Linked DNA regions of Macaca mulatta. The protein of the gene in region 5 purifies or fractionates together with the protein of the main gene of each other region. This does not show direct contact. Links are inferred from orthologs where the notes say so. Each region holds a gene or a part of one and is shown on either strand. Other genes may lie near its edges.

Region 1 (3,958 bases), on a different chromosome or scaffold from region 5:
CCCAGGAAAAGCACTGCAGTGGCTCTTCTGTTTCACAAAGTGAGTTTAGGGAAAGACGTGCCGCAGGGGGTTCATTTGCACTGCGAGAACATCATTCATGCAAGAAATACTGAGTACCTACTATGTGCTAAACAGCGGGCTGGGCTTTTCATAAGGAATAGAGATACTCAATTGAATGCCAATTCATGAGCTATGAAACACATTCAACTGTTTCTTAGGGTCAGATTAGGACACAAATGCTAAACAGTCTTCCTGCGCCTCCCCCTGGAGAGGAAATGAACTAGAAAATGAAATTGTGCCAGTAAAGCGCTTAGCCGGGTGCCTGGGACATGGCAAACCAGTCCTGAAATAAATGTTTTATTAATAGCAATCTTAGCTAATTAAAATACATAGCGTTTATTGAGCGTTGGGTATCAGGCACGGTGCTAATTCTTTTAGATGTCTTTAGTTCGTTTTAGCCCACCTCAAACAAGAGTGGTATTGATCACCTCCGATTTACAGACGAGGAAACTGAGGCAAAGAGAAATCTTAGTAGTTAGTAGAAGTGCACGCAGTGTGGTCAAGCTAGCAAGGTGTTTTGTCCACTGCTGTATCTACAAAACCTCTAACAATGCCTGGTGCATAGATGCTCAGTATGCATTTGTGGGATCAGTGATTCCGATGCCTGCTTCTTATAAATCTTTTTATTTTGAAATAATTGCAGGTAAGGAGTTGAAAAACAGTATAGTGGTCGCGAGTGTCCTTTTTCCTTCTGCTTCTCCCAGGGATATCGGCTTACATAACAACGCCCAAACCGGGAAATTGACTTGGGTAAAATCCACAGACTCTATTCACCTTGCAATGTGGCTTTAATAGAAGTGCTGGACATTTTGTAAGCTGATATCGTTGCTATGGTTCTTATTCTCAGCTAAAACGGCGCTCTTTGCTTTGTGCACCTGAACACTGCATACCGAGGGCGACCACCATCCCCGAGACGCCCAGACTGTATCCTAAAGCAGCCTCGCCAGCGCCGAATGGGTTAACGGGGGAGGTGTGCGGGAACGCCTCCGTGCGCTTGCGCGGCGTCGCTTCGCCCCGCCTCCGCAGCGCAGTCACATGACCCGCCCAACCGGCGTCCGCCTATAAAGTGCTGAGTGTTGACGTCAGCGTTCTCTTCCGCCGTCGTCGTCGCCATCCTCGGCGCGGCTCGCTTCATTCGGTTCTACCTGGGAGAATCCACCGCCATCCGCCACCATGGTGAGTAACCCTGCCTCGCTGGTGTCCCGGAACGGCGGCGGGACCTCCGCGGGGCCGACGCTGCCTAGACGCTGGGGCCGCCCGTGCCGGGAGGAGACGTAGCGGCGGCAGAGCCGGAGGAGCCGGGGCTGGGGCAGCGGTCGCCGCCATGTCTGTGCGCCGCACTGTTCACGGAGCCCCTTCTCCGCTTCCGGGGGCGCCGTAACCTTGCCCAGACCTGGCTGGAGCTGGGGTGTTAGGGAGGATGGGGGTGGGGTATGATGATGTGGCAGGCGTTGTAATGGCGGGCACCGCGGTGGAAGCGGGGAGACGGGGAGGCGCCTTATGTAACTCGCGGGCCGCGAGTTTGAGATCGATTTTCTGCCGGGGGACTAGGGGCGGCAGGGAAATGGCAGAACCAGCAAAGCGACACCTGAAAGGTTCCCCTTTTCCTCCCAAATATCTTCTCCTGATGCTGTTAACTGTCGGCCCTAGGCGCTTGTCCTTGTGACTCCGAAATGTGCAAAGACTCGTTTTGAGACACGAGGTGTAGGCTTGTGGCTGTTAGGGCCGTTCCGGCTCCCCGTTATCTCCTGGGGTGGGTGGCCTTGTGTGATCCCTCTTGCCGAGGGGTGACCTTGCATTTTATTATGACAGTTTTTGGTCGGGGAAGCCTGGGTGGCCCAATGACAACGTGGAGGGGGCTTTGGGAGAAGGTTCACCCCTTACGTGTTTGGCCTCTAATAACTCTTTAGTGTTTATATTCGGTATCAAGGAAATCTGTTGCCACTGAGTTTTATTTCTGAGCGCTTTTATTTCTGGGTTGTCCGTTCTGGATGACATCTGTTGACAGTGGATCCTTGGAGATTGTGGGGTAGTTCTCAAGGCGTGTTAGGCTGGCAGGATTGGGTGGGCTTCGGGTACCCCAACACCAGTCCCCTCCTGGCCTTGGGCATGCTGGTTCGTTTGGACCGAACGCTCCATGCCAAGCCGTGTTCCTGGAAATCTCGAGCTGGTCTGAGCCTCCCCTTCTTGCCCAGGTGAACTTCACGGTAGACCAGATCCGCGCCATCATGGACAAGAAGGCCAACATCCGAAACATGTCTGTCATCGCCCACGTGGACCACGGCAAGTCCACGCTGACAGACTCCCTGGTGTGCAAGGCGGGCATCATCGCCTCGGCCCGGGCCGGGGAGACACGCTTCACTGACACCCGGAAGGATGAGCAGGAGCGTTGCATCACCATCAAGTCAACGTGAGCTCCCTGTGCCCTCTGTACCCAGGCAGGGAGGTGCTGGCCTGGCAGCTGGAGGCCACTGGGCCAGGGTGGGCGGGGAGAGACTAGGCAACGTCTCTTTCTCCTGGTTTCTTAATTCATGGGAGAATGAGTGAGGTTCAGTCCAGCGAGACGGGGATTAAGAGTCACAGGGATTGGGGGTACTGCGAGCCGGAAGATTTTCTTGAGGAGGGGCTTCACTCAGTGGTTCTCCTTCCCTGGGGGACTTGCCGCCACTCCTACAATATCTGGAGGGGTTTTGCTGTCACACCTGGAAGGGGGGGTGTTTCTGGCACTCAGGATGCGGAAAGCTCTTGTGTTGCACTGGATGGCGTTCATTCCGTGACAGTTTCTGGCCCCTGACGTGAGTGGGGTGAGAGTCTAAAACGTGAGCGCAGAGCACAGTGATCCCAAATGCCTTTTGTCCTGGGTTGGCACCATAGTGAGGGTCTCTGGCTAAAGCTCTTCATTTTCACTGGAGCAGGGGCAGAAGTGAGGAGGGAAGGGTCAGAGTCTCTGAAGGCTTTTGCTGTCCTGCGGGGTCTTTTCATTGCTACTTTGAGTCAGGTGTGATGAGTCTTGGGGGGACCAAGTCGGTGGGGCAGAGTGTCTGGTCAGGAGGGCTCTGAGTCGCTGGCTGTGGGGCTGGTACCAGGAGTTCCCTGTGGGGGGGGCGGGGGGCCTGTCTTGGACAGAGTATTGTGGAGGCAAAGGACAAGGGTGGGTTGGGTCTTGTGGGTGGGTTGGGTCTTGTGGGAGCCTCTCAAGGGATGAGTCATGGAGGGAGGAGCAGCCTGGCTTCTGACAGGATCCCAGCCTCCCTGGGCCAGGTGTGTGCATCCTGTCCCCCTGATGGATCCCTCCCTCCATCAGTGCCATCTCCCTCTTCTACGAGCTCTCGGAGAATGACTTGAACTTCATCAAGCAGAGCAAGGACGGCGCCGGCTTCCTCATTAACCTCATCGACTCCCCCGGGCACGTCGACTTCTCCTCGGAGGTGACCGCTGCCCTCCGAGTCACTGATGGTGCATTGGTTGTGGTGGACTGCGTGTCAGGTAAGCAGCGGGTCCCCCTGAGGCAGGGCCTAGAACCCGGGGCCTTCCCTGTTTGAGGATGACAGCGCCGCCCCGTGCCCTGCATCCCTAGGCGTGTGTGTGCAGACGGAGACAGTGCTGCGGCAGGCCATTGCGGAGCGCATCAAGCCTGTGCTGATGATGAACAAGATGGACCGTGCCCTGCTGGAGCTGCAGCTGGAGCCCGAGGAGCTCTACCAGACCTTCCAGCGCATTGTGGAGAACGTGAACGTCATCATCTCCACCTATGGCGAGGGCGAGAGCGGCCCCATGGGCAACATCATGGTACGGCCCTCCCTGGCTGGGTGGTGTGCCCGCCGCAGTGGGCACCGCAGGAGCTGGCGGGGAGCGGAGTTGAGCTGAGGGGACTGGAAGTGTGTTTTTGCCAGGAATG
Region 2 (3,500 bases), about 33 Mb from region 5:
TTTGTATTTTTAGTAGAGACGGGGTTTCTCCATGTTGGTCAGGCTGGTCTTGAACTCCCGACCTCAGGTGATACACCCGCCTCGGCCTCCCAAAGTCCTGGGATTACGGGTGTGAGCCACCGTGCCTGGCCAACCTGGCAAATTTCTAATTTTATTTCTTATTCTACCTTTGGATTGACTTGTTTGCCTTCACAATGATTAATTTAGCACTTAATATGTACTAGCCCTGATGATAGCTGCTAGGGATGTGAGGTTGAGTGTGATCTGACTCCTGCTCTCCAGGACCTCATTGGCTGGATTTTAAATTTTATGGAAACAGGGAAACTGACAAACAGAACCCCTTCTCCATTATAACCCTGATGTTTATATTTGATTATTGGATACTAGTGGTCAACATCTTCTTTGGTTCATTGTAAATTGTGTTCAACAGCTGTGTCTGTGCACCATTTAAGGTTTTGAAGAAGGACTGCCAAAGCTGATTTTCAGTTTTAATCATAGAGGAGCTGTTGAAATGTCTTCAAAGCCATTTTATGAGTGAGACCTCAACTTCTCAGACCAGTGGAGCTGACAGGTTTTATTTATATTAGTACGAGTTATCTTGGCATGAACCTGAAATAATTGATGCTTGTCTTAAAGGAATAACATGTTTCTTTCTCTCTTCTTATTTTCCAAAAAAGAAGACTCAGCCAGGTGTGGTGGTGCAGGTCTGTAGTCCCAGCTACTTGGGAGGCTGAGGCGGGAGGATCACTTATACCCAGGAGTTTGAGGCCGCAGTGAGCCATGATCTCACCACTGCACTCCAGCCTGGGTGGCAGAGCGAGACACTGTCTCTAAAAAAAAAAGAAAGAAAAAGACTCCTTTCATTAAAACAGGCAAAAACAACTTTGCACATCTCATAAATTTGCTGCTGCTTCCATTTCAGCATAAAGTATTGTTATGGGTGATATTTTCCCTTTTATTTGGGGCAACAGTTAACTTCAAACTTTTCCAATAGTTGTATTGAAAGTTTCTGAACACAATAATGATGGTGACCTAGAGGTATGGTAATGGGAACTTCTGAATTAGCAGAGAGACTGTAGTACCACTGTTGACCACGTGAGGGCAGAAGCGGATAATGTTTAAAGTTGGCTTCCTTTTCGCATTCACTATTATTGACCACCCCCCCCAGAGAATCCCCATCAAAACACAGGACGGAAGCATACGGTTTAGTTTAAGCGCAGACCTCTATTTTTCCTTAGAGAAAATAAATGATTTTTAAAAATTAGATTTTGGTGCCTTGTATTTAGTGGGTACTTAGACTCGCTTCTTCACTCCTGCCAAGTTCCTGATTGCATGTGATGTTTTCATTTCGTTGAGTTGTTGTTGTTTTTTAAAGAGACAGTGTCTCACTCTGTCCCCTAGGCTGGAGTGCAGTGGCATGATCATGACTCACTGTAGCCTGGACTTCTCCAGGCTCAAGCAATCCTCCCACCTCAGCCTCCTGAGTGTCTGGGACCATGGGTGCCGTGCCACCATGCCCAGCTAATTTTTTATGTTTTTGTGGAGGCAAGGTCTCACTTTGTTGCCCATGCTGGTCTCAAACTCCTGGGCTCAAGTGATATGCCTGCCTCCCAAAGTGTTGGGGTTACAGGCGTGAGCCACTGCACCCAGCCCTGGCTTTGGTTCTGTTGTAATTTTGGTAACAGGTGCTAGAACACCGTTACTTAGGGCTTATATTGAATTTCAGGACCTTTCTGTCCTGTCCTGACTACTAAAGTAAACCTCCAGTGCTGCCTGCAGGGTACTGGGCTTATGCCCTCATGGGGCTTACAGTCTAGTGGGGTAGAGAGCCAGGCAACAAAGACGGAAATGAAATAGAGGCAACTTGTGCTGAGTTCCTAGGATGCGTACAGTGCTGTGACAAGGGCTAGTGGGATGTAGGCTGCTGTAGGTGGAGGGGTGGGGTCAGAGTCCGCCCTCCAGGGAGGATGCATCTCTCTTGGACTGGAGGATAAAAAGAGGTTGCTGTAGATGAAGAAGGAGGGTAGGAGGCCTTGAGGGGCAGGAAGGAAGAGCATGGAGTACCCAAGAGGCCAGTGGGGAGGGGACCGGATGGCACTGGAGACTCAATGCAAGGGCCAGGTCCTGAGAGCCTTTTGTTGGCTGCATTAAGGAGATTTGATGTTAGTTGTTTTTTTTTTTTTTTTTGAGACGGAGTCTTGCTCTGTCGTCTAGGCTGGAGTGCAATGGTATGATCTCGACTCACTGCAACCTGTGCCTCCCGGGTTCAAGCGATTCTCCTGCCTCAGCCTCCCGAGTAACTGGGACTACTTGGGTGTGCGCCACCACGTCCAGCTAATTTTTGTACTTTTATTACAGAAGGGGTTTCACCGTGTTAGCCAGGAAGGTCTCCATCTCCTGACCTGTGATCCGCCCGCCTCGGCCTCCCAAAGTGCTGGGATAACAAGCGTGAGCCACCGCACCTGGCCTTGTTGTTAGTTTTAATGAAGCAGTGGGCTACTGAAGACTATACATGTGGAGAAATCTTTTATGAAGTTTTATTTTTTATTTTTATATTTTTTCAGAGACAGGGTCTTGTTCTGTCAGCTAGGCTGGAGTGCGGTGGCATGATCACGACTCACTGCAGCCTTGACCTCCTGGGCTCAAGTGATGCTCCTCCCTTGGCTACGAAAGCACTGGGATCACAGGCGTGAGCTGACACACCCAGCCACAATTTAGTGATTTTGAATGTATTTATAAACCTCTGTGTAACCATCAAACTTTAGTTCTCATGCTCGGTTTATTAAGAACTCTTTTTATTAGCTTGTGTACTGTGAGAGATGTGTGGTCATTTGTGTCTTTTTTTGTTTGTTTTCCATTCCCAGCTGGGAGGCACCATTGGAGACATCGAAGGAATGCCGTTTGTGGAAGCGTTTAGACAATTCCAGTTTAAGGCGAAAAGAGAGAATTTCTGTAATATCCATGTTAGCCTTGTCCCACAGGTGGGCTTTCCAGATAAGTATGTGGACAGCAACTTTGATAAGTTTTCCTGTGATATTCTATGTGTCCCGCATTTGAACGTGGGGCACCGTTAATCATCAATAGGAGCTAGTGTCCAGTGTGCTGACGGGACCCCATTTTTTTTCAGCTCAGTGCTACCGGAGAACAAAAAACCAAACCCACCCAAAACAGTGTCCGCGCGCTGAGGGGGTTAGGCCTGTCTCCAGATTTGGTGAGTTGAGGACAGTGGGTAAGTCTATCCCAAAGGTCTCTGGGAGCAGGCCCTTCACTTCTTTTTTGTTTGTTTGTTTGAGACGGAGTCTTCCTCTGTCACCCAGGTTGGAGTGCAGTGGTGCAGTCTTGGCTCATTGCAACCTCTGCCTCCCGGGTTCAAGCTATTCTCTTGTCTCAGCCTCCAGAGTATTTGGATTACAGGCACATGCCACCACACCTGGTATTTTTAGTAGAGACGGAGTTTTGTCATGTTGGCTAGGCTGGTCTCGAACCCCTGACCTCAGGTG
Region 3 (4,090 bases), on a different chromosome or scaffold from region 5:
CAGAGTCTGAATTAAAGAGCTGATGTCCGGTCTCCTAGTGGAGGTAGAAGGCTGGGCTAATACCTGTCACTAGCACTTACAGAGGTGTGAATTTGGTAAATCATTTCATCTCTGAAGTGGTTTCAGCATTTGTGAAAAGAGGCAACTATTTGCCTAACACAATGTTGAGTTCAAGGTTATTCATAGCTCCTGCCAGAGATGCATTTGCTATTTTGTGTTAATGGAAAAGGATTTAAAAATTATGATATATTTAAACACGGTGCTACCAAATGTGCTTAAAATGCATTCAAACTGTATTCTTTTAATGAACTTTAATATTCTCAACTAGTATCAATGCTTTGTTATTATTAAGTATTGACTTCAATATTTCCCACCCCTCACCGCAACTCCTAGCACACACGCACTCGAAATGCTCTAAAATGGTATTTATTGAGCGCATGTGACTAACACCACAGCCACCTAAGCCCTGACTTGCCGGACACGAACGGACAATTAATTGGAATGACTGTAACAGCGTTTCTGTAAACAGTGCTTCCTAGCGGCTTGCCCAGTGTCTAGCGCTGCACAGTCAGGAGTTAACCACTCCTACGACACCGGCCGCCACACGGTGAGAAGCCCGGGAAAGACGCGCCACACTCCCATGTGATAGTTTCACTTGTCTTTTTGGTTAGTTCTGCTACCCTAGTTCACGTCCCCGCGAGAGGAAACGTATTCCACCTCACATTAGACAGAAGAGCCTCGATTCACCGTGGAGCCTGACAAAAGGGCACTCCAGCGACTGAGCTGCTCGGACTTGGCACAGGCAGGGTCCAGCCTACTCGCTGCCGGCGCGGCGTCTCAGCAACACCCCCTCCCCCGGAAGTTTGTGCGTCTCAGATGTAAGGTCTGGGAGTCACCTTGACCCTTCCCGGAGCGGTGGGGAAAGTTAGCCTGAGCCCGAGGGAGCGTGAGTGAAACCAAAGAGCACTTTCGCGAGTCAGCTACGCCGTCACGTTTTTCTGGTTTCAGGGTAGCTGAAGACCTACAGAGTTTAAGGGCGACCAGAGCAGGTGGCAGGACTCCGCCCACCACCACGCTTCCCCTCCTTCAGCTCGCACGCTTCACTCCCTTCTTGGGGTCCCGCCTCTCGGGCGCGCGCGAAGAGTTGTCGCGCGGTGCATCCTGGGAATTGTAGTCCCAACGCAGGGAGTCGCCTCAGGAGAAACTACTCTGGCCTACACACCCCACAGTGCCTTGCGGCGCTGGCCGCTCCCGGATGTGTGCCTGGCGCCGGAAGAGAAGACGGCCCCCCTCTCTCGGCCCGGCCATCTTGTGGGAAGAGCTGAAGCAGGCGCTCTTGGCTCGGCGCGGCCCGCTGCAATCCGTGGAGGAACGCGCCGCCGAGCCACCATCATGCCTGGGCACTTACAGGAAGGCTTCGGCTGCGTGGTCACCAACCGATTCGACCAGTTATTTGACGACGAATCGGACCCCTTCGAGGTGCTGAAGGCAGCGGAGAACAAGAAAAAAGAAGCCGGCGGGGGCGGCGTTGGGGGCCCCGGGGCCAAGAGCGCAGCTCAGGCCGCGGCCCAGACCAACTCCAACGCGGCAGGCAAACAGCTGCGCAAGGAGTCCCAGAAAGACCGCAAGAACCCGCTGCCCCCCAGCGTTGGCGTGGTTGACAAGAAAGAGGAGACGCAGCCGCCCGTGGCGCTTAAGAAAGAAGGTAAAGCAGGGGCAGAATGTGGGGGAGACTGGGATGGAGGGAAGGAGCGAGAGGGCTGCCGGCTACCACTTGTTTCTGGAGCTCCGAGGGTCCGCGGGAGACTTTGCCGCCTATTTCCTCACGTTTCTTCACGCGACAAAAGCCAGGTCCTGCGAAGGTGCCAGGAGCGTGGTAGCCCCAAGTTGAAGCCACCGCCGGCGAGGCTCTCGGAGCCACCCCCTTCCCGCCTTAGGTTGTGAGCGGAGGAGCGTGGTCGGAGATGAGCTGCTCCTCGAGCGCGCTCGGGGTCCGGGGAGGCTGTTGCCTTCCCGCCGGATTCCTTGGCGGGCGAGCGCATGGACTGAGGTGCGGGGAAGCCGGCCGCTCACCGACGCTTGCCGTAGTTACGGAGGGGCTCGGGGTCCATCGCTGCTTACTGCGCAGAGCTGCTCCTTTGAGGTGCTGTTGTTTCAGGCTCCTGTCCTGCCATCTTGTCCCACGACGGCGCGGAGTATCCCCGCCGAAAAGCAGGGGGTCGTTCCAGGCCATCGGACGTGTGGAGTCAGCCGCAGGTTGGGGTGCCGCGTGTGCTTTATTGTTTCTCCTCCACCTCTCAACTGTTAGGACTTTCTCAGAACTTGCTGGGGTGAGTTGAGCTGTTGGGAAATGGAGGAGTTTGGCCACACTCGACTAAGCAGAAGCGGGAATTATGAATGAAGACTGGTGATCGCAGGACGTCCCGAGGAAAGTCCTCGAGTCACGATCCTCTCTCTCTCGACTCCCCAAACTGAGTCTTTCACATGGTGGACTCTGGGCCTCGTGGGTAAAGTGAGTGCAGAGGCTGTCACAGCGTTAGTCGCAGCAGAGCTCTTTAGAGTCTGCAGCTTTTTTTTTCCCCCTCCACATGTGCGTGAAGCATGGTGAGAGTTTCACTGGCGGTTAATAGTTGCTTCCAGGGCACTGTGAGTTTCACAGGATTGTCTTGATTTTTGCATTCTCATTACCAGTTTGTTACGGATGAAAAAGAGCAAGTAGTTCGAAGATAAGAACGTGCATGATCAATAGCAAGCAGGTGTCGGACCTAAGGTCTGAATCTTTAAAGCTGTATTTATATGTTGAAAGTTGAAATTACCCCTTCCTGCCACGTGCTTCTCTGAAAGGAGTTCTCATTAGCTTTTGTTGACTTCTGTGACATTCAACTAATTTTGAAAATCAAAACAATTTCCTCGTGGTGGGATTTGTTTTAGGAGGTTTATTGGTTTTTGTGGTTTTTTTTTTTTTTTTTTTGAGGACTTTTATGAGGCTTAGAATGAAGAACCTCGGTCCTAGGTGGTGAATGAAAGAAAATAATTCTTGTGGTAAAATTATAGGTTGAGGAGAAACACAGTTGGAGTATTAGAAAGCATGTACATCACTTAGGCCAAGTATCTCTTCAGCCAATTAAGCTTTATGGCAATCTAACACACCTAAATAAATCATTTAATTCGTGTGTTAAGTAACGCTGACTTGTGTAATTATTTAAACTATGCTTAAGCTTAAGAAAGTAAACCAAAAAGTTGAGTCTGACGAATAGTGTGTACCAGGTAGATGTGTTCACTCATTTTGAATGTTCAAAACATGAAGCATGTTTAAATGCCTGAGTTATTTTGATCATGAAGCCCATCTAAGAAATAAGCTCTTACCTGAAAAGTATTTTAAGTGACAAATGTGGGGAATGATTTCATGAAGTTAGAACTAAGACTTAAGTTCACCATTCAATAAGTCTTTCCATGGGAAAACTATTCCATATTAGCAATCAACATTTTCCTTAGGTCAGTATTTCAGAGCACTCTTATTAAGTTGCATAAAATACAAGCATGTAAATACAGGAAAAGTGTTGAATGGACAATACCCGTTTTGAGATTCTACTGTCCTATTTACTGGGAATATATCTGTAAACAAAATCCCTGCAGATAGTAGGAAGGTTAACCTGATTGTGTTCTGTGGTTTTGACAACACATTGTGACATAATGCTTGACATACTTTAGACAGATATTTAATGTTTATGTTTTATGAATTAATTTTGTAGCTTCTCTTGCCCATTTGAAGAACTTGAGAATTGATAGCAGAATGTCATTGAGAGTGTAGACCAGGAATTTTCTAAAACAGAATGGATGCCTGAAACTAGTGCAGTTAATGAGCTTGCAGGTTATACATAAGTATATCAAAAGAAGCTTGCATTTTTAAATGTCAGTCTTTTTCATTAGGTGAGTTTAATCTAAGTTTCTAAGATTCTGTAAGCTTAATATTGATATTGGGTGGGGACGCCAACTATTGTTCACTTGGGTGTGTGTGGCTTGGATATTATTGCAAGGACTGGCTCCTTAACTCCACCCCAGTACACTTTATTACTGATGACATTTATTT
Region 4 (3,500 bases), on a different chromosome or scaffold from region 5:
TCTGATATTTAGAATGTTCCACTGATTTTAGGGAGTATATGTATTTTAACTATTCTCAGTGAATCATATAAGCTTTCAGTTGCTGCTCATTCCTTGGGCACTTTTCCCTCATCTCTGTTAGAACTCCTGTTATAGCACTTAACTATACTTCATTGCCACCCCTATAGTCTGGGAACTCCAGTATATAAACAGTGAAGACAGAGACCAGTCTGACTCGCTCTGTTGTATCTCCTGTGCTTTGCAAGACAGATGCCTGGCTCTTAGTAAGTCCTCCATAGTGATTAATGATTGTACCTATTATAGCTCTCCCTTCATCTGCCTCTCCATACCGTAGGAAGCACTCAAACACTTGCAGTCACTCAATGAATGAAGTTCCTTAATGGTAGGAAATCTTTTTTTTTTGTTTTTGTTTTGTTTTTTGTTTGTTTGAGACGGAGTCTTGCTCTGTCACCCAGGCTGGAGTGCTGTGGCCGGATCTCAGCTCACTGCAAGCTCCGCCTCCCGGGTTCCCGCCATTCTCCTGCCTCAGCCTCCCGAGTAGCTGGGACTACAGGCGCCCGCCACCTCGCCCGGCTAGTTTTTTGTATTTTTTAGTAGAGACGGGGTTTCACCGTGTTAGTCAGGATGGTCTCCATCTCCTGACCTTGTGATCCGCCCGTCTCAGCCTCCCAAAGTGCTGGGATTACAGGCTTGAGCCACCGCGCCCGGCCAGTAGGAAATCTTTTTGTATGCCAAGTTTCTATCTAATGAAACTGTCTTAACCTGTGAATTGAAAGTACTTTTGGGTGATGATGGATATGTCTGTGGCCATAATGGTGGTGATAGTTTCATGGGTGTATACTTATCTCCAAACTCATCATGAATTGTATACATTAATTATGTATGGGTTTTTACATATCAGTTATACTTCAATAAAATGTTTTTTTAGAAAGTACCTTGTGGCTGGGCCGGGCGCGGTGGCTCATGCCTGTAATCCCAGCACTTTGGGAGGCTGAGGCAGGTGGATCACCTGAGGTCGGGAGTTCAAGACCAGCCTGACCAACATGGAGAAACCCCGTCTCTACTAAAAATACAAAATTAGCTGGGCATGGTGGCACATGCCTGTAATCCCTGCTACTTGGAAGGCTGAGGCAGGAGAATCGCTTGAACCCAGGAGGCAGAGGTTACGGTGAGCCAAGATTGCACCATTGCACTCCAGCCTGGGCAACAGGAGTGAAACTCCGTCTCAAAAAAGTACCTGGTGCATTTTGTATCGTTTAGACATTGGCTGAATTTGGGCTAGATAATGGTGACAATATATTAAGTACTTTATGAAAAATTGCCTTTAATTAGGCATATCTACATATTTTATTAACTTCTCTTACGTCACACAACTAGTGAGTAGCAGAGTAAGAACAAGGTCTTTCAGACTCTTAAGGACTAGTATCTAGAGTACTAATGTCACTGTGGAACTTTAATGGAACTATCCATTGTATATTTAGATTATTGATTTTTGCTTTTTTCAAGGTAAGATTATATTTTGTCTTGATGCAGATTTTAATTTTTTGTTTGTTTCTTTATTCTCCTTTCCCCATCTCACCCAATTAATTTTGTTAAATCGATTTAAGAAACATTTAAATGTCTCTATTCTCACGTGAGGCTTCAGGTGAGGTTAGAAGAGCACACTACTTTTATTAGAAGCAGGCTTTGGGCTTTCTAATCAACTTCATATAACTTTAGTACTTTCAGCTAGTTTATTTCTGAAATTGGCACATTCATGTGTACTATTTGGTCTCACTATATGGTACTTCATGTTATTGCTTTAAGCAGACTTCAAAATTTGCTTTTATTTACCAGAGCAAAAATTTAAATTGTTTTTCCTGTTCAGAAATTGAGAAGATTCAGAAAGGAGACTCAAAAAAGGACGATGAAGAGAATTACTTGGATTTATTTTCTCATAAGAACATGAAACTGAAAGAGCGAGTGCTGATACCTGTCAAGCAGTATCCCAAGGTAAGGCAAAAAGTGCCTTGCATCTTTGAGTTATCTTTATAGTTACGAGAGAGTCATGGACTCCTGGGGATTGTGATGCTTTAGAAACTTAAGCCTGTGAAGCTTCTCTTTCATGCTTGCAGTACCTGTTTCTGGCAATTGAAATATCTAAGTTCTTAACTAAACATAGTTATAGCCAGGAAGGAAATGTAATAATCTTTTTATTATCAAAAAGTTTCTTTCTCTAATGACTGCTCAGGCTACAAGTTCAAAGAAAAAAAAAAAATAAAACCTGAAGAGTTGCTCTCTGTCAAAAGACTAACCTGAAATCTAAATAAAAGGAAATATAATACAAATCCTCAATTGGATGAAGTTAATTTTATTTTCTTACTAAAAGTTTACTTTTAAGTAAATGCTTTTTTTCTTCCTTTTTTTTTTTTTCTTTTTTTAGGAAAGCAATTAGTTACATTTAGTTTATCCAGCGTGCTATCAAAGGGTGCTATATAGTCTCTTCTGCTCTGAGGTCACTGCGTTAACAATGTTTATGTATGTTAAGGCATGCATAAACAGGCACAGTGGCTCATGCCTGTAATGCCAGCACTTTGGGAGGCCAATGCAGGCAGATTACTTGAGCCCAGGAATTCAAGACCAGCCTAAGCAACATAGCAAAACCGTATCTCTACAAAAAATACAAAAATTAGCCTGATATGGTGATGTGCACCTATAGTCCCGGCTACTCCAGAGGCTGAGGCGGGAGGATCACTTGAGCCCAGGAAGTCGAGGCTGCGGTGAGCCATGATCATGTCACTACACTTTGGCCTGGGCAACAAAGTGAGAGCCTGTCTCAAAATAAAGTAAAAAATAAAATAGTAAAGGTCTTAGTGTATTATGGAAGATGGCCAGAATACATCAGAAAAGCCAAATTCAGGTCTAGGAACTGCCACTTTCTAGTTTCATAATCTTAAACTAATCACTTTATTAATATGGCTTCAGCGTCCTTCAGTAAAACGGGAATGGTAATACTCTACCTTTGCAGGGTTGTTTAAAATCAAATGAGGTAATTTATGTGGAGATGTTTTTATATAGTAGCATGTATATTTAGAAATCCTTTATTTTCTGTCAGTTCAATTTTGTGGGGAAGATTCTTGGACCACAAGGGAATACAATCAAAAGACTGCAGGAAGAGACTGGTGCAAAGATCTCTGTGTTGGGAAAGGGCTCAATGAGAGACAAAGCCAAGGTAAGCTCACATTAGTGAGGCAAGAGGACATCCTAATGCCTTCTACTTGCCCAGAATGCAGTATAGATGCCTTATAGAGGCAAGAATATTGTGTATGTACAGAATGTGGCTCCTTTAAGTGTGCATTGGGTGCAAGAGATTATACACCAAGTTAATTTACTTGCTTGGCAACCCTGGAAGAGCCTAGGTGTGCCCTGGTGATAGTTTTCTTTTGGACTTTTGACTGCATAGTAATGGACAGAGCAGTAGCATCTTGTGCATTGGTAGGATTGTCTGGGAAAACTTGAAA
Region 5 (4,278 bases):
ACACAACAGGCCTGGTAAACATGAAAGTCCCCTCCTCCCATTAAGTCTCATGAGCAGAAAACACTACTTAGAACCCATTTATTACTTACACCTTTCAGGGAAGAACTTCAACTAGGGTTAGTATCTGAAGGGAGGCAAGGCTATACTCAAAACAGCTTTCCCATGGTCTCTTTCAGTCAACCTGTTGTATGGCTTGTCTCCTAAGACTGGAAGTGAACTCCAAATACCTTCTTGGTTCATCAGCTCATCTGAACCCCATAACCATTCCCTGAGGTAGTCTGGGCAGGCATTATCATTCCCGTTTTACACATGGGTAATCTCAAAAGCAACACAATGACTTGCTCAAGATCATACAGTTGGTAATGGTCCATCTGTGCCTGGAACTGAGGTCTTTCTGGCTCCAAAGCCTACGATCCTTCCACTGCACCACCATGCAGACTACTTTATTGAACACTTCCTATGTGCTGGGCACAACACCAGGCCCTTCAGAAGCATTAATCTCTGATCCTCAGATTGGAATTATCATTGCCAATTTATAGAATAGAAATTGAGGATGGGTGCTCACTTCGCACCACATATACTAAACTTAGAACGATACAGAGAAGATTAGCATGGCACTATGCGAAAGGATGACACGCAAATACGTGAAGCGTTCTATAAAAAAGTAAACAACAATAACAAAAATTGAGGACGGGGTGGGAGTTAAATGACTGACAAAGATCAATCAGACAGGAAGCGCAGAGCTAGAATTAGCGTGTAGCTCTCCAGCTACTCAATAGCAGGGATTCTGCCAACCCCATTTCGAGACGCTGACTGGTGACAGAGCTGATTCATAAACCTCGATCGACCCAAGCAAACTCAGTTTTAGAAAAAGGCTGGGCTTGGCCAGGCGCGGTGACTCACGCCTGTAATCCCAGCACTCTGCGAAGCCGAGGCGGGAGGATCGCTTGAGCCCAGGAGGTGGAGATCAGCCTGGGCAACATAGCGAGACTTTGTCCCTACAAAAAAGTGAAAAAAAAATTAGCCGGGCGTAGTGGTGCGCGCTTGCGGTTCCAGCTATTCGGGAGACTGAGGCGGGAGGATCGCTTGAACCTTGGAGTTGGAGTTTGCAGTGAGCTATGATCGCGCCACCGCATTCCAGCCTGGGCGACAGAGTGAGACCCCCGTCTCGATTAGAAGGGGGGGAAAAAAAAAAAAAAAAAAAAAAAAAAAAAAAAAAGGCTGGGCCGCGCCTGCGCACTAGCCATAGGGCCGGGGAGGTCAACCCGAGGGCGAGAGTGCTGTGGTGCCAGAGAAGGCGTGTCTGTTTCCCAAACAACCACTGTCCCCACGGTGCTTGTCTGTCCCAAGGTTGGTCGGTATGACGCGAGTGACGGCGTCTTTTAGCCAATCACCGCAGAACTCAGGCTGTTGCCGGGGTGAAGCGGTGTCCGCCTCCCCCGGAAGGATATTTGTAGGTGGGTGGGACCGGAAGTGACGCTACAGGGGAATGCTATGCTCTGGGAGTGTTGATGTTTTCCAGTCATTCCGGCTGACAGCGTTCAAGTTGGAAGCCTGGAGGGGAGGTGTTTTTCCTGTCGTACGTGGGACAGGCCACGCTGTCCGTCCGCAGTACCGACGACTGCGAGTCAGAGCTTCGGGGAGAAAAGTGAAGAGCAAGACGGGACCGACGGGGAGAAAGGCTGGGAACCAGGGTGTCGACTTTGACTGAAATTTGAGACGGAGGGCACCGGAGGGCGAGCACTCGCCTGTGATTGGCCCGTGGGCGTCGTCGAGGACCCACGCAGCTGCTCAATTGGTTGGTGTTCGCAATTGTTGTGGCTGCGGCGGCGATTTTGCCCACGTACTTCCGAGCAAGGGGCGGGGCTGTGCCCTGGCGCGCGTGCGCAGCGCCCCGGGGCCCCACCCGGTAGTGCAAGAACCTGCGAGGGGGCGGAGCGAAGAGGTGCTTGTTTTGGTTCTGTTTCCTTTGAAGCAGAAGGCCGGAACAAGCGTAGCAATAAATTTGCTGGACTTGGAGAGAAGGTTCCGACAAACTCGCCGCACTGCCTTCATCTTGGACTTTACATCCGGGTTCTCCTCCCGGCGTGACCCGCGCGCCGCCGCCGCCGCCGCCGCCGAGGGTTCTCGAACCGGTGCCGCGATCCCTTTATCCGGGTTTCGCCGTTCCCGTCGTGCTTAGCGCACTACATTAGCCCCCCCTCATCCGGGTTCTCTCCCGGCGTGCCTCGCGCCGGGTTTGTTGGGGGGTACTCGGCGGTGCAGCCATGACTATACTCCCCAAAAAGAAGCCGCCGCCTCCCGACGCCGACCCCGCCAACGAGCCGCCGCCGCCCGGGCCGCTGCCCCCGGCGCCGCGGCGCGGCGGGGGTGTGGGCGTGGGCGGCGGCGGCACGGGCGTGGGCGGCGGCGATCGCGACCGTGACTCCGGCGTCGTGGGGGCCCGTCCGCGAGCTTCGCCACCGCCTCAAGGCCCGCTACCAGGACCGCCGGGCGCACTTCATCGCTGGGCGCTGGCCGTGCCGCCTGGTGCAGTGGCGGGTCCCCGGCCACAACAGGCTTCTCCACCTCCTTGCGGGGGCCCAGGTGGTCCCGGCGGCGGTCCCGGCGACGCGCTGGGCGCAGCGGCGGCGGGTGTGGGTGCCGCGGGCGTGGTGGTGGGTGTGGGTGGTGCCGTAGGCGTGGGCGGCTGCTGCTCCGGGCCTGGGCACAGCAAGCGGCGACGTCAAGCTCCCGGGGTTGGCGCGGTTGGCGGGGGCAGTCCCGAGCGTGAGGAGGTCGGCGCAGGCTACAACAGTGAGGACGAGTATGAGGCGGCTGCAGCACGCATCGAGGCTATGGACCCTGCCACTGTCGAGCAGGTAAGAGCTGCGGGATGAGGGGTGGGCGGCTACGGCAGATGGGACCCCCAGACTGTGAAGAGCCTCAAGGAAGGCTGTTTGAGATCGCCCCAAGGGATTTAGGCGTTTTCACTGGGCCTGATAGTCTTCTCTGGTGGTAGGGGTGTGAGATGCCTTCTTTCCTCCCCTCCAGGGATTTGGGGCTAGAGGTCTACGATAAGGTGGCAGACTTAAAGATGGGATCCGAGGCCTCTTTTAGGGTCTGTAATCGTCATTTCAGTCCTTGGGACCTCATCTTGTAGGGCCAATAGGTGGGAATTCTCCAAGAGACACAGGTAGGATCGCGCCCCTCTTGAGCAGGAGTCTCAGGTCTTCCAAAAGACCTAGGTCTGTGTTCAGTGGCTTAAGAGCTCTTTTCCTTTGGGATAGAAGTTTGAGATTCCTCCTCCAGGAAAGTCAAATAAGGTGGAGACCTCAGAGATCGGGTCTGAACATCCCCAAGGAGCCTAAGCCCTTTCAAGAGTCTAAGACACTCTGCATGTAGGACAGTCCTCTCCTGCTTCGCTAGGTAACACGGCACAGGACCACTGAATAGCCAGACCTGAGACCTCAAGGGTCCTAAGTCTGTCTTCAGGGGCCTGAGAGTCCTTATTGTAGAATCAAGGTCCTGACACACACAGACACACACACACACACACACACACCCTTTAAGGACAGGGATCTTCTAAGCTTTTTCCAGGGATGTAAGACTTTTCGCAGGGAGATATGATTCCCTTGCCCTTGGGGACAGGGACCGAAACCAACACCCAAGGACCAGCAGCTTTACTTGAGTACAAGAGACTCATCCGCTTTCTGAGTGACAAAGGTCTGCATTTCCTATCAGTGGCTGAGACCTACCTCTTCGGAGACAAGGCCCTGACTCTCTTCAGGATCTTAAGCTTCTTGTAAGAAGAGATGGGCCCTCAGCACCCCCACCAGGGGCCTGAACCTTTCTTCAGGAAAATGAAGACTCACAGCGTTGGATCCTAGGGCCTAAGATCTATCTGCTTATGGACTGAGGTTTTTAGAGACCGAGTCTGAGGCCTCTTTGGGGGCGTGGTGTTCTGCTGCAAAGGTCTCAGACAAGGTGAAGCCTTAGGAGATTCTTCTTCTTAAGACTAGTGTCTGAGTGGTTTTGGGGGTCCGAGACTCCCTACCCCACAAGCATATGTGACCTTTTTACCCCAATTATAAGGGACTGAAACATACCTTGGGGATACAGTATCTCATTTTCCCTTTTGTAACAGGGGTTTGAGGCCCTCCCCTCTTTGGGCCTAAGCTTCTTGTCAGGGACATATGACCCTTGCCTTGGGAACTTGAGCCTGAGACTACTCCTCAGGGGACATGGGCAACATGGGATCCCAGAGATCATGTCTGGGGCCTCCCTACAGATCTCTGC
Region 6 (3,500 bases), about 2.8 Mb from region 5:
AATAATTCGGGGCAAGAGGACCCGCAAGGTGAGATCCCTGCTAGCTTCACTTTGCTTTGGGGCTCTCTCCTTTCTTCTCTGAGGGTGTTCGTTTGTTCAAAACAATGTATGTAACTGTATTCAGCTAGGCTATAGGCCATTTGAAGAGAATGTTTATTCCTGTCCTCCGGGTGTTCACAAACTGATGGGGAGATAATACATGGGCACAAATAATATATACAACCTGTATGTAATTCAGTTTACATTGTGTTAGTAACTACCGTGTGTTAAGCCTTGAGCTAGGCACATTCACACGGGTTGTCTCATAAAATCTTAAAGGCACCTCCTACCAGGTAGGGATCATAGTCCCAATTTTACAGAGAAGGAAATTAAGTGGCAGAGAAGTGAAGTGACTTGAGTGATTTGTTCAGGGTGGTACAGACAGAGCCAGTGGTGGACATAGGAAGAGGAGAAGCCTCAGTCCCCATCTTTGGTTTGTTCCTGACCTGGTTCGGAGATGAAACTCCTGCCTGGAAGACAGTGAAAGACAAACCCAGGACTCAGGGTGACCAATGGCTAGTGGGTCAGGCTGTCACTACAGGTGAGGGTTTAGAGGGCATTCCTGGAATAGATAAGGTAAGGACACAGAACCCACTGGTGATTCTGAACTTTTCTTCTCTCTGATGATACAGATTAATAACTTGAATGTTGAAGAGAACAGCAGTGGGGATCAGAGGCGGGCCCCACTGGCTGCAGGGACCTGGAGGTCTGCACCAGTTCCAGTGACCACTCAGAACCCACCTGGCGCACCCCCCAACGTGCTCTGGCAGACGCCGTTGGCTTGGCAGAACCCCTCAGGCTGGCAAAACCAGACAGCCAGGCAGACCCCACCAGCACGTCAGAGCCCTCCAGCTAGGCAGACCCCACCAGCCTGGCAGAACCCAGTTGCTTGGCAGAACCCAGTGATCTGGCCAAACCCAGTAATCTGGCAGAACCCAGTGATCTGGCCAAACCCCATTGTCTGGCCTGGCCCTGTTGTCTGGCCGAATCCACTGGCCTGGCAGAATCCACCTGGATGGCAGACCCCACCTGGATGGCAGACCCCACCAGGCTGGCAGGGTCCTCCAGACTGGCAAGGTCCTCCTGACTGGCCGCTACCACCCGACTGGCCACTGCCACCCGATTGGCCACTTCCCACTGACTGGCCACTACCACCTGACTGGATCCCCGCTGATTGGCCAATTCCACCTGATTGGCAGAACCTGCGCCCCTCGCCTAACCTGCGCCCTTCCCCCAATTCGCGTGCCTCACAGAACCCGGGTGCTGCACAGCCCCGAGATGTGGCCCTTCTTCAGGAAAGAGTAAGAGCTGTAACTCCCCAGTCACTTTTCCCCTCTCTTGCTCTTTTCTTTGTCACCCTCTCATCTATAATTCAACCAAGATTTTTTGTAAATATCTTATAAGTTTAATGATTTCCTTTTTCCCTCCCAGGCAAATAAGTTGGTCAAGTATTTGATGCTTAAGGACTACACAAAGGTGCCCATCAAGCGCTCAGGTAGGCATCCGTGTCCCCTCCCCAAGCTCTACCCTTCCCTTCACTCCATGCTCTGTTGGTGTTCTTCTGCTTGTATGACCCTTCCCCTTCTGTCCCCTCCTTTCCATGGTTGGCTCTTTTCACCCTTGAGGACCTTGACTGTGCTACCCACAGGCTGGCAAAGGGACTGCTGCTCTGTGGCCTCCACTCGGCTCAGATGGCTCCCTCCTCTCTCTTACAGAAATGCTGAGAGATATCATCCGTGAATACACTGATGTTTATCCAGAAATCATTGAACGTGCATGCTTTGTACTAGAGAAGGTGAGAAGGCAGCCCTGGGGGACAGGAATAATGGGGAAAGTTGATTTCAAAGATTCATGGGGTTCCTATTGGGAGTTTAGGGCAAGTCTCAGGGAGGTGAGTGTCTGCCTATGGGTAGCTTATGCTAGATGTTGTAATTTCATGGTCTGTTTTCTTGTCCCTGTAGAAATTTGGGATTCAGCTGAAAGAAATTGACAAAGAAGAACACCTGTATATTCTCATCAGTACCCCCGAGTCCCTGGCTGGCATACTGGGAACGTAAGATGGGAAAGAAGGTGGAGCATGGCCTTTCTCAGTGGTGCTTTTTTTCTAGGAGTTTCACATAGATCAGGGTCCAGGGTTCAGGGTCACATAGCAGGTCATGGGCAGAGCTGGGGTATAATTCTCCCCTAGCTGAGGAATACTGGGGAGGCTAGATGGGTAAGCTGGTTGGGGTCTCTCATGCAAATGGCTGCTGAAAATACATTCTTTCTATATTCCCTTAGGACCAAAGACACACCCAAGCTCGGTCTCCTCTTGGTGATTCTGGGTGTCATCTTCATGAATGGCAACCGTGCCAGTGAGGGTGAGTGACTGGACCTGCAGCTGGGGGTTGGCCACAGCCTGATTTCCATGCTTATTTTCCGTCCCTTGTCTCCCCTTGCCTCCCATTGCAGCTGTCCTCTGGGAGGCACTACGCAAGATGGGACTGCGTCCTGGGTATGATTGGGCTCTCTCATCTCTTACCCGTTTGTACCATCCTTTGGCAACAGTGGATGGTCCCAGGATTGCATTAACCTGGGGGTCTGGAGGGTTTGGTTTGGGGATGTTCAGAGCCCAAAGATGTAACCTGGGTGGATGGGGGAACAGTTCTGAACTCTCTGCCTCTTTTCTCATCTCTGACCTCTGTTCTGGAAAGCTCTTTGGGCATAGTAATAGCCTCTGATTGTGGATTTCCTTTTTTTACCTTCAGGGTGAGACATCCCCTCCTTGGAGATCTAAGGAAACTTCTCACCTACGAGTTTGTAAAGCAAAAGTAAGTGATGCCTAAGGGGCTTTTCCTGCTCCCTATGATTCTGCCTGTGTGCTGGTCAGCTTTAGAAAGCCCTTCCTGGACAGGTACAATGGCTCACGCCTGTAATCCCAGCACTTTGGGAGGCTCAGGTGGGCAGATCCCTTGAGCCCAGGAATTCAAGACCAGCCTGGGAAACATGACGAAACCCCATCTCTACAAAAAATACAAAAATTAGCCAGGCGTGGTGACATGCACCTGTAGTCCCAGCTACTTGGGAGGCTGAGGTAGGGGAGAATCATCTGAGCCCAGGAAGTTGAGGCTGCAGTGAGTTGTGATCATGCCAACTGCACTCCAACCTGGGCAGCAGAGCGAGACCCTGTCTCCAAAAAAAAAATAAAAGAAAGCCCTTCTCAAGCTCATTTCTTACACTGTACCTGTGCATATGTGTTTCTGTGCGTACAGAAACGTGTGTCCTCAGGAGTATTTATTGCATATACTCCTCGTGGTTAGATTCTTTCTTTTCTTTTCTTTCCTTTTCTTTTCTTTTCTTTTCTCTTCTCTTCTCTTCTCTTCTCTTCTCTTCTCTTCTCTTTTCTCTTCTCTTCTTTTCTTTTCTTCTTTTCTTCGAGATGGAGTTTCACTCTTGTTGCCCAGGCTGGAGTTCAATGGCAT
Region 7 (4,285 bases), on a different chromosome or scaffold from region 5:
GGCACAAGATCAGGAGAAACAGGCAGGAAGCTACTAGAAGCTGGCAGAAGAGAGTCAAGAGAAATTTATAGGAGGCCTTCAGGAGAATTAGGCCAAAGACTCTCAGGAGAGTTCAGCAGACAGGAACCAGAAGAACTAAATAAACTTTCAGAAGTGGGCAGAAGAGAGCCAGAAGAACTGGGAAAAACACAATTTGGGGAAATAGGAGAAATGAAAAAAACAGAAAATGAGATGGAAAAGGAGTATGAATGAAGACACCGGTAGGGATAAGGATCAGGAAGTTGGTGTTCAGAGGGATAACGGGATCTTATTAAACTGGATTTTCAAGCGATTTATCTGTAATAGGAAAAATGAGGGTTTTACTTGTGCTGCTTTCCGTCACTATTTTGCCATTAAATAGGTGTCTTTCACTCTTGCAAACCCTGAGTCTGTCACTTTGTCTCCTCACCCCTGCCCATTCTTGGAAGAGCCTCGTGGAGAGAAAGGTGCCAAGAAGAAAGGGTTTCAGGAGGGTGAAGATACAGGAGCTTCAGGGAATGAGAAGTCACAGGGAGGAGGAGAGGGGAAGGCCTGGGAGGAGAGGTGCTTCCCAGACACCGGTGACTGACTGAGTCCTTCCAGTGCGCAGGACACCGGGAGGCTTTATGGATGGAACAGTGGTGGGGTGGCCCCAGCTAGCACAGGCAGGAGAATGCCCCAAGCCAGAACTAAGCGAATGCTGGGACTGAGGCCAAAGATAGGGGAGTGGCCTGGGAGGGCAGACAGACTCCACCTCTGACAACTCTGGGTGGCACAATCAGGTAAATCAGGCTCGCCAAGCTGGCTTCTCTGAACAATGGGATACCTGCCTCAGGGGTTGCTGCGAGGACTGAGTGCTTAGCACAGCACTTGGTACAAGAAACTCAAAAATCCAACGGAGCTCTCAGTGGTTTCACAGAGGTGGTGGCAGCTGAGCATCTGGCCTCAGAGGATGTTAGGATTTCACTCCGTTACTCATCTGTCCCTTTGGCCATTGCCATCCTGGTCTGTCTCCACAACTTCTAGAAGGAAAGGTCGGGGCTGAGACTGACTTTCGGCTGGCACAGGGACCGGACGAGGTCAGTGAGGCATTTCAGATGCAGAGTTTACCGGGATGCCAGCAAATTGCATAATACTTTAATCCAATGTGGTTTAAAAAAAAGTTTTTAATTAATGCAAAAGTCCATGATGAATAAAATATCAAAAATTAAAGATAGGATCCAACCTTGCACGACCCTGCTTCACTCACTTCCTGCTAATCCACGGGACCGGGGAGGGCGACTGAGTTACCCCTCGACACACAGAAAAAGGTAGCGGCCGTCCAGCTCGCAGGCGCAGTGAGTGGGTGCGCGTGGCGCGGCGGGCGCGCGCAGGGGGCGGGGCCGGGCCGGGGTTCCCGCGCGCGGCGGGAGTTTCGGGTTTCGGTTCGCAGCGCCTGCGCGCAGAGGGGACGGCCCGCCCCGGCCCGCCCGGGTGCCCGCTCCGCCCCCGGGCTATGTAAAGCGGCCGGGCTCGGGTCGTGCCACCGCTGGACTCCCGTGTCCCTCCGCGCAGGCGGGCGGCCCCGGAGCGCTGGTGCCGACAGAGGCGGCGACGGCGGCGCCCCTCCTCATCATGGTGAGAGGCCAGGCGGGGCCGGGCACGGGGTAGCACCGGGGCAGGAAACGAGTGTCGGGGCCCCTCGGCAGGAAGCGTCTTGCAAACGAGGACCCGGGGCTCCGGGCTCGACTTCCAGTTGTCTTGGTACTCAGGGCAGCCCTGAGGTCTGGAAGAAGCTGGGCGGGGGGTTCGGAGTGCCGGAGAGGCCGCTGGAGAGGGAAACGGTAGCGTTCCTCAAGAGGGGACTCGGGACCGTCTCATCACGCGGAACCGCTGCCCCGCGCCCGGGTGCGCGCGGGAGGCGGAGCCAGTTCGGAGGAGGGGACCCTTTACGGTAAAAGCTGCCCTCTCTTGTGGCTTCTAGAAGATAGGAAAACAAGTGGCTCCGAGAGGCGGTTCAGACACACAGCACAGCGGCGGGCAGAGCTGGATCCTGATTGCAGGTGCCCTGTGCTGCCTTGTCCTGGACAGGCACAAAGACCACGACTTTGTGGGGGCCGGGAGAGGGTAGAGGAGGAGGTGGCAGGCTCGGTGAAAGAGGGCCTTTGTCCAGTGCTCTCCTGCCCTGCCCCCCACCAGCCCTTCTGTGGGACCATTGTCCCCGCATGCCAGACAAGAGAGTATTATCTCTTGCGGCCATTGTTGGGGGAAGGGAGGCAGTCTTGGGGTAACCCTTCTCCACTCCCCACCCTTCTCTGTGCACTCAGCCGTGGCAGCTGTGGCTTGGCCCAGACACAGAGACCCCCACCTCCAAAGAAGACGTCCTTAGTAGGTGCCAAGCATATAAGAGTGAGGCCAGTCCCAGAACCGCAGGCTCCTGGCACGCCCTGCATGCCTCCAGCACGTTTTCCTTTCCGAGGTGGCAGCAATGGGGAAAGCGCACGCTTAGGAGAGCTTCAGACAAGCTTCCCTCTTCCTCCTCCACGACCAGAAGCGGAAAGGTGCTCCCGGACCGAAAGGGACAGAAGGTCCAGCACTGCCCTGCTTCGGAAGGCACCCACACCCAGTCTAGGGACTAGGGGTAAGGCCGGCGGGGAGCCCGCGAATGACCTGGGCTGACATCTCTTCCCCTCCTTACACAGAACAGAGGCTTCTCCCGAAAAAGCCACACATTCCTGCCCAAGATCTTCTTCCGCAAGATGTCATCCTCAGGGGCCAAGGACAAGCCTGAGCTGCAGTTTCCCTTCCTTCAGGATGAGGACACGGTGGCCACGCTGCAAGAGTGCAAGACGCTCTTTATCTTGCGCGGCCTGCCAGGAAGCGGCAAGTCCACGCTGGCACGGGCCATCGTGGACAAGTACCGTGATGGCACCAAGATGGTGTCGGCCGACGCTTACAAGATCACCCCCGGCGCTCGAGGAGCCTTCTCCGAGGAGTACAAGCGGCTCGATGAGGACCTGGCTGCCTACTGCCGCCGCCGGGATATCAGAATTCTTGTGCTAGATGACACCAACCACGAGCGGGAACGGCTGGAGCAGCTCTTTGAAATGGCCGACCAGTACCAGTACCAGGTGGTGCTGGTGGAGCCCAAGACGGCGTGGCGGCTGGACTGTGCCCAGCTCAAGGAGAAGAACCAGTGGCAGCTGTCGGCTGATGACCTGAAGAAGCTGAAGCCTGGGCTGGAGAAGGACTTCCTGCCGCTCTACTTCGGCTGGTTCCTGTCCAAGAAGAGCTCCGAGATCCTCCGCAAAGCCGGCCAGGTCTTCCTGGAAGAGCTGGGGAACCACAAGGCCTTCAAGAAGGAGCTGCGACAATGTAGGTGGCAGGGTGGGGCCTTACTCATAAGCCTACCTTGCTGGGCACAGGGCGCTGTGGGCATAGGACCATAGGGTGGGGCACGAAGCAGCAGGAGGCAGAGAAAGGCTCACCTCAGAGCGGGCAGGGGCAAGCAGTATGTCCCAGTGGTAGCCTTGGGGAGTTGGCAGCACATTGGGAACATGGGGGCTTCCCAGAGCTCCTTTCCTCCTACTACACCTTTCCTTCTAGCCCTCTTCTCTCTGACACCCTTCTCCCAGGTTGAATGTAGACCACCGTCCCGTCTTGGAGGTCGGAAAAACTGTAGTAACAGGAAATAGTCCTCTTCTAATGTAACCTTAGAGGGGGAATCAAGCCCAGTGTTCTCCAACTCATTTTTAGCAGCAGAATAATGTTCCAAAATAATAATAATGACATGAAATTGTAAGCTGCAAAAAAATTAAAACTAGGACTATTGTGGCTTCACTGGGGATGGTTCTCAGGCCTTGGGCTACTTGATTTACTCATGGGTTTGTGGCATCTTACAGCTCCAGAGGACACACACTTAGGCCAAAACCTGTTTTCAGATGGAAAAACACGGGCCCAGGAGGGATGTGGGGTTTACGGGCTTGAACCCTGGACTCTGGCTACTCTAGCCGGGTTCTCTCTTGGCATGGGCTTTTTGCTCCAATGGTAAGTTTGGGATAAAGAGGGGTCCTGGTGGCTCTCCTGCAGTGACCTGTTGGAGAAATGTCACCCACTAATCCATCTATATGCCTTTAGGCCATTTCTGGTTGCCCCCAATTGTATTTATTTATTTATTTATTTTGACACAGAGTCTCCCTCTGTCGCCCAGGCTGGAGTGCAGTGGCACTATCTCAGCTCACTGCAACCTCTGCCTCCCAGGTTCAAGCAATTCTCCTGTTTCAGCCTC

What was found.
Region 1: the proteins of OTUD5 (region 5) and EEF2 purify together in Homo sapiens (affinity purification with mass spectrometry, with the first as the bait; 3 studies listed by BioGRID). This does not show direct contact. The link is inferred for Macaca mulatta from reciprocal best matches to the Homo sapiens genes OTUD5 and EEF2.
Region 2: the proteins of OTUD5 (region 5) and CTPS2 purify together in Homo sapiens (affinity purification with mass spectrometry; 3 studies listed by BioGRID and IntAct, with this or other methods). This does not show direct contact. The link is inferred for Macaca mulatta from reciprocal best matches to the Homo sapiens genes OTUD5 and CTPS2.
Region 3: the proteins of OTUD5 (region 5) and SERBP1 purify together in Homo sapiens (affinity purification with mass spectrometry, with the first as the bait; 3 studies listed by BioGRID). This does not show direct contact. The link is inferred for Macaca mulatta from reciprocal best matches to the Homo sapiens genes OTUD5 and SERBP1.
Region 4: the proteins of OTUD5 (region 5) and KHDRBS1 purify together in Homo sapiens (affinity purification with mass spectrometry, with the first as the bait; 3 studies listed by BioGRID). This does not show direct contact. The link is inferred for Macaca mulatta from reciprocal best matches to the Homo sapiens genes OTUD5 and KHDRBS1.
Region 6: the proteins of OTUD5 (region 5) and MAGED1 purify together in Homo sapiens (affinity purification with mass spectrometry, with the first as the bait; 3 studies listed by BioGRID). This does not show direct contact. The link is inferred for Macaca mulatta from reciprocal best matches to the Homo sapiens genes OTUD5 and MAGED1.
Region 7: the proteins of OTUD5 (region 5) and CNP purify together in Homo sapiens (affinity purification with mass spectrometry; 3 studies listed by BioGRID, with this or other methods). This does not show direct contact. The link is inferred for Macaca mulatta from reciprocal best matches to the Homo sapiens genes OTUD5 and CNP.

The regions. Positions count from the first base shown.
Region 1 is NC_133424.1:4,793,804-4,797,761, reverse strand, and holds the start of EEF2 (elongation factor 2), read left to right. Parts: upstream 1-1,158; 5' UTR 1,159-1,233; coding exon 1,234-1,236; intron 1,237-2,255; coding exon 2,256-2,470; exon of another isoform or gene 2,471-2,490; intron 2,491-3,284; exon of another isoform or gene 3,285-3,364; coding exon 3,365-3,546; intron 3,547-3,637; coding exon 3,638-3,849; coding exon of another isoform or gene 3,850-3,917; intron 3,918-3,958. UniProt on the Homo sapiens protein: Catalyzes the GTP-dependent ribosomal translocation step during translation elongation.
Region 2 is NC_133426.1:16,359,437-16,362,936, reverse strand, and holds part of CTPS2 (CTP synthase 2), read left to right. Parts: intron 1-2,864; coding exon 2,865-2,981; intron 2,982-3,127; coding exon 3,128-3,211; intron 3,212-3,500. UniProt on the Homo sapiens protein: Catalyzes the ATP-dependent amination of UTP to CTP with either L-glutamine or ammonia as the source of nitrogen. Constitutes the rate-limiting enzyme in the synthesis of cytosine nucleotides.
Region 3 is NC_133406.1:173,177,831-173,181,920, forward strand, and holds the start of SERBP1 (SERPINE1 mRNA-binding protein 1), read left to right. Parts: upstream 1-1,290; 5' UTR 1,291-1,392; coding exon 1,393-1,705; intron 1,706-4,090. UniProt on the Homo sapiens protein: Ribosome-binding protein that promotes ribosome hibernation, a process during which ribosomes are stabilized in an inactive state and preserved from proteasomal degradation.
Region 4 is NC_133406.1:208,851,414-208,854,913, reverse strand, and holds part of KHDRBS1 (KH domain-containing, RNA-binding, signal transduction-associated protein 1), read left to right. Parts: intron 1-1,867; coding exon 1,868-1,992; intron 1,993-3,094; coding exon 3,095-3,211; intron 3,212-3,500. UniProt on the Homo sapiens protein: Recruited and tyrosine phosphorylated by several receptor systems, for example the T-cell, leptin and insulin receptors. Once phosphorylated, functions as an adapter protein in signal transduction cascades by binding to SH2 and SH3 domain-containing proteins.
Region 5 is NC_133426.1:49,032,498-49,036,775, reverse strand, and holds the start of OTUD5 (OTU domain-containing protein 5), read left to right. Parts: upstream 1-1,478; 5' UTR 1,479-2,267; coding exon 2,268-2,861; intron 2,862-4,278. UniProt on the Homo sapiens protein: Deubiquitinating enzyme that functions as a negative regulator of the innate immune system. Has peptidase activity towards 'Lys-48'- and 'Lys-63'-linked polyubiquitin chains. Can also cleave 'Lys-11'-linked ubiquitin chains (in vitro).
Region 6 is NC_133426.1:51,813,409-51,816,908, forward strand, and holds part of MAGED1 (melanoma-associated antigen D1), read left to right. Parts: coding exon 1-28; intron 29-671; coding exon 672-1,340; intron 1,341-1,470; coding exon 1,471-1,534; intron 1,535-1,754; coding exon 1,755-1,834; intron 1,835-2,000; coding exon 2,001-2,092; intron 2,093-2,319; coding exon 2,320-2,399; intron 2,400-2,490; coding exon 2,491-2,533; intron 2,534-2,786; coding exon 2,787-2,849; intron 2,850-3,500. UniProt on the Homo sapiens protein: Involved in the apoptotic response after nerve growth factor (NGF) binding in neuronal cells. Inhibits cell cycle progression, and facilitates NGFR-mediated apoptosis. May act as a regulator of the function of DLX family members.
Region 7 is NC_133421.1:66,306,486-66,310,770, forward strand, and holds the start of CNP (2',3'-cyclic-nucleotide 3'-phosphodiesterase), read left to right. Parts: upstream 1-1,485; 5' UTR 1,486-1,632; coding exon 1,633-1,635; intron 1,636-1,714; exon of another isoform or gene 1,715-2,060; intron 2,061-2,483; exon of another isoform or gene 2,484-2,699; coding exon 2,700-3,372; intron 3,373-4,285. Other genes in the region: ODAD4 (outer dynein arm-docking complex subunit 4), read left to right, coding at 1-252. UniProt on the Homo sapiens protein: Catalyzes the formation of 2'-nucleotide products from 2',3'-cyclic substrates. May participate in RNA metabolism in the myelinating cell, CNP is the third most abundant protein in central nervous system myelin.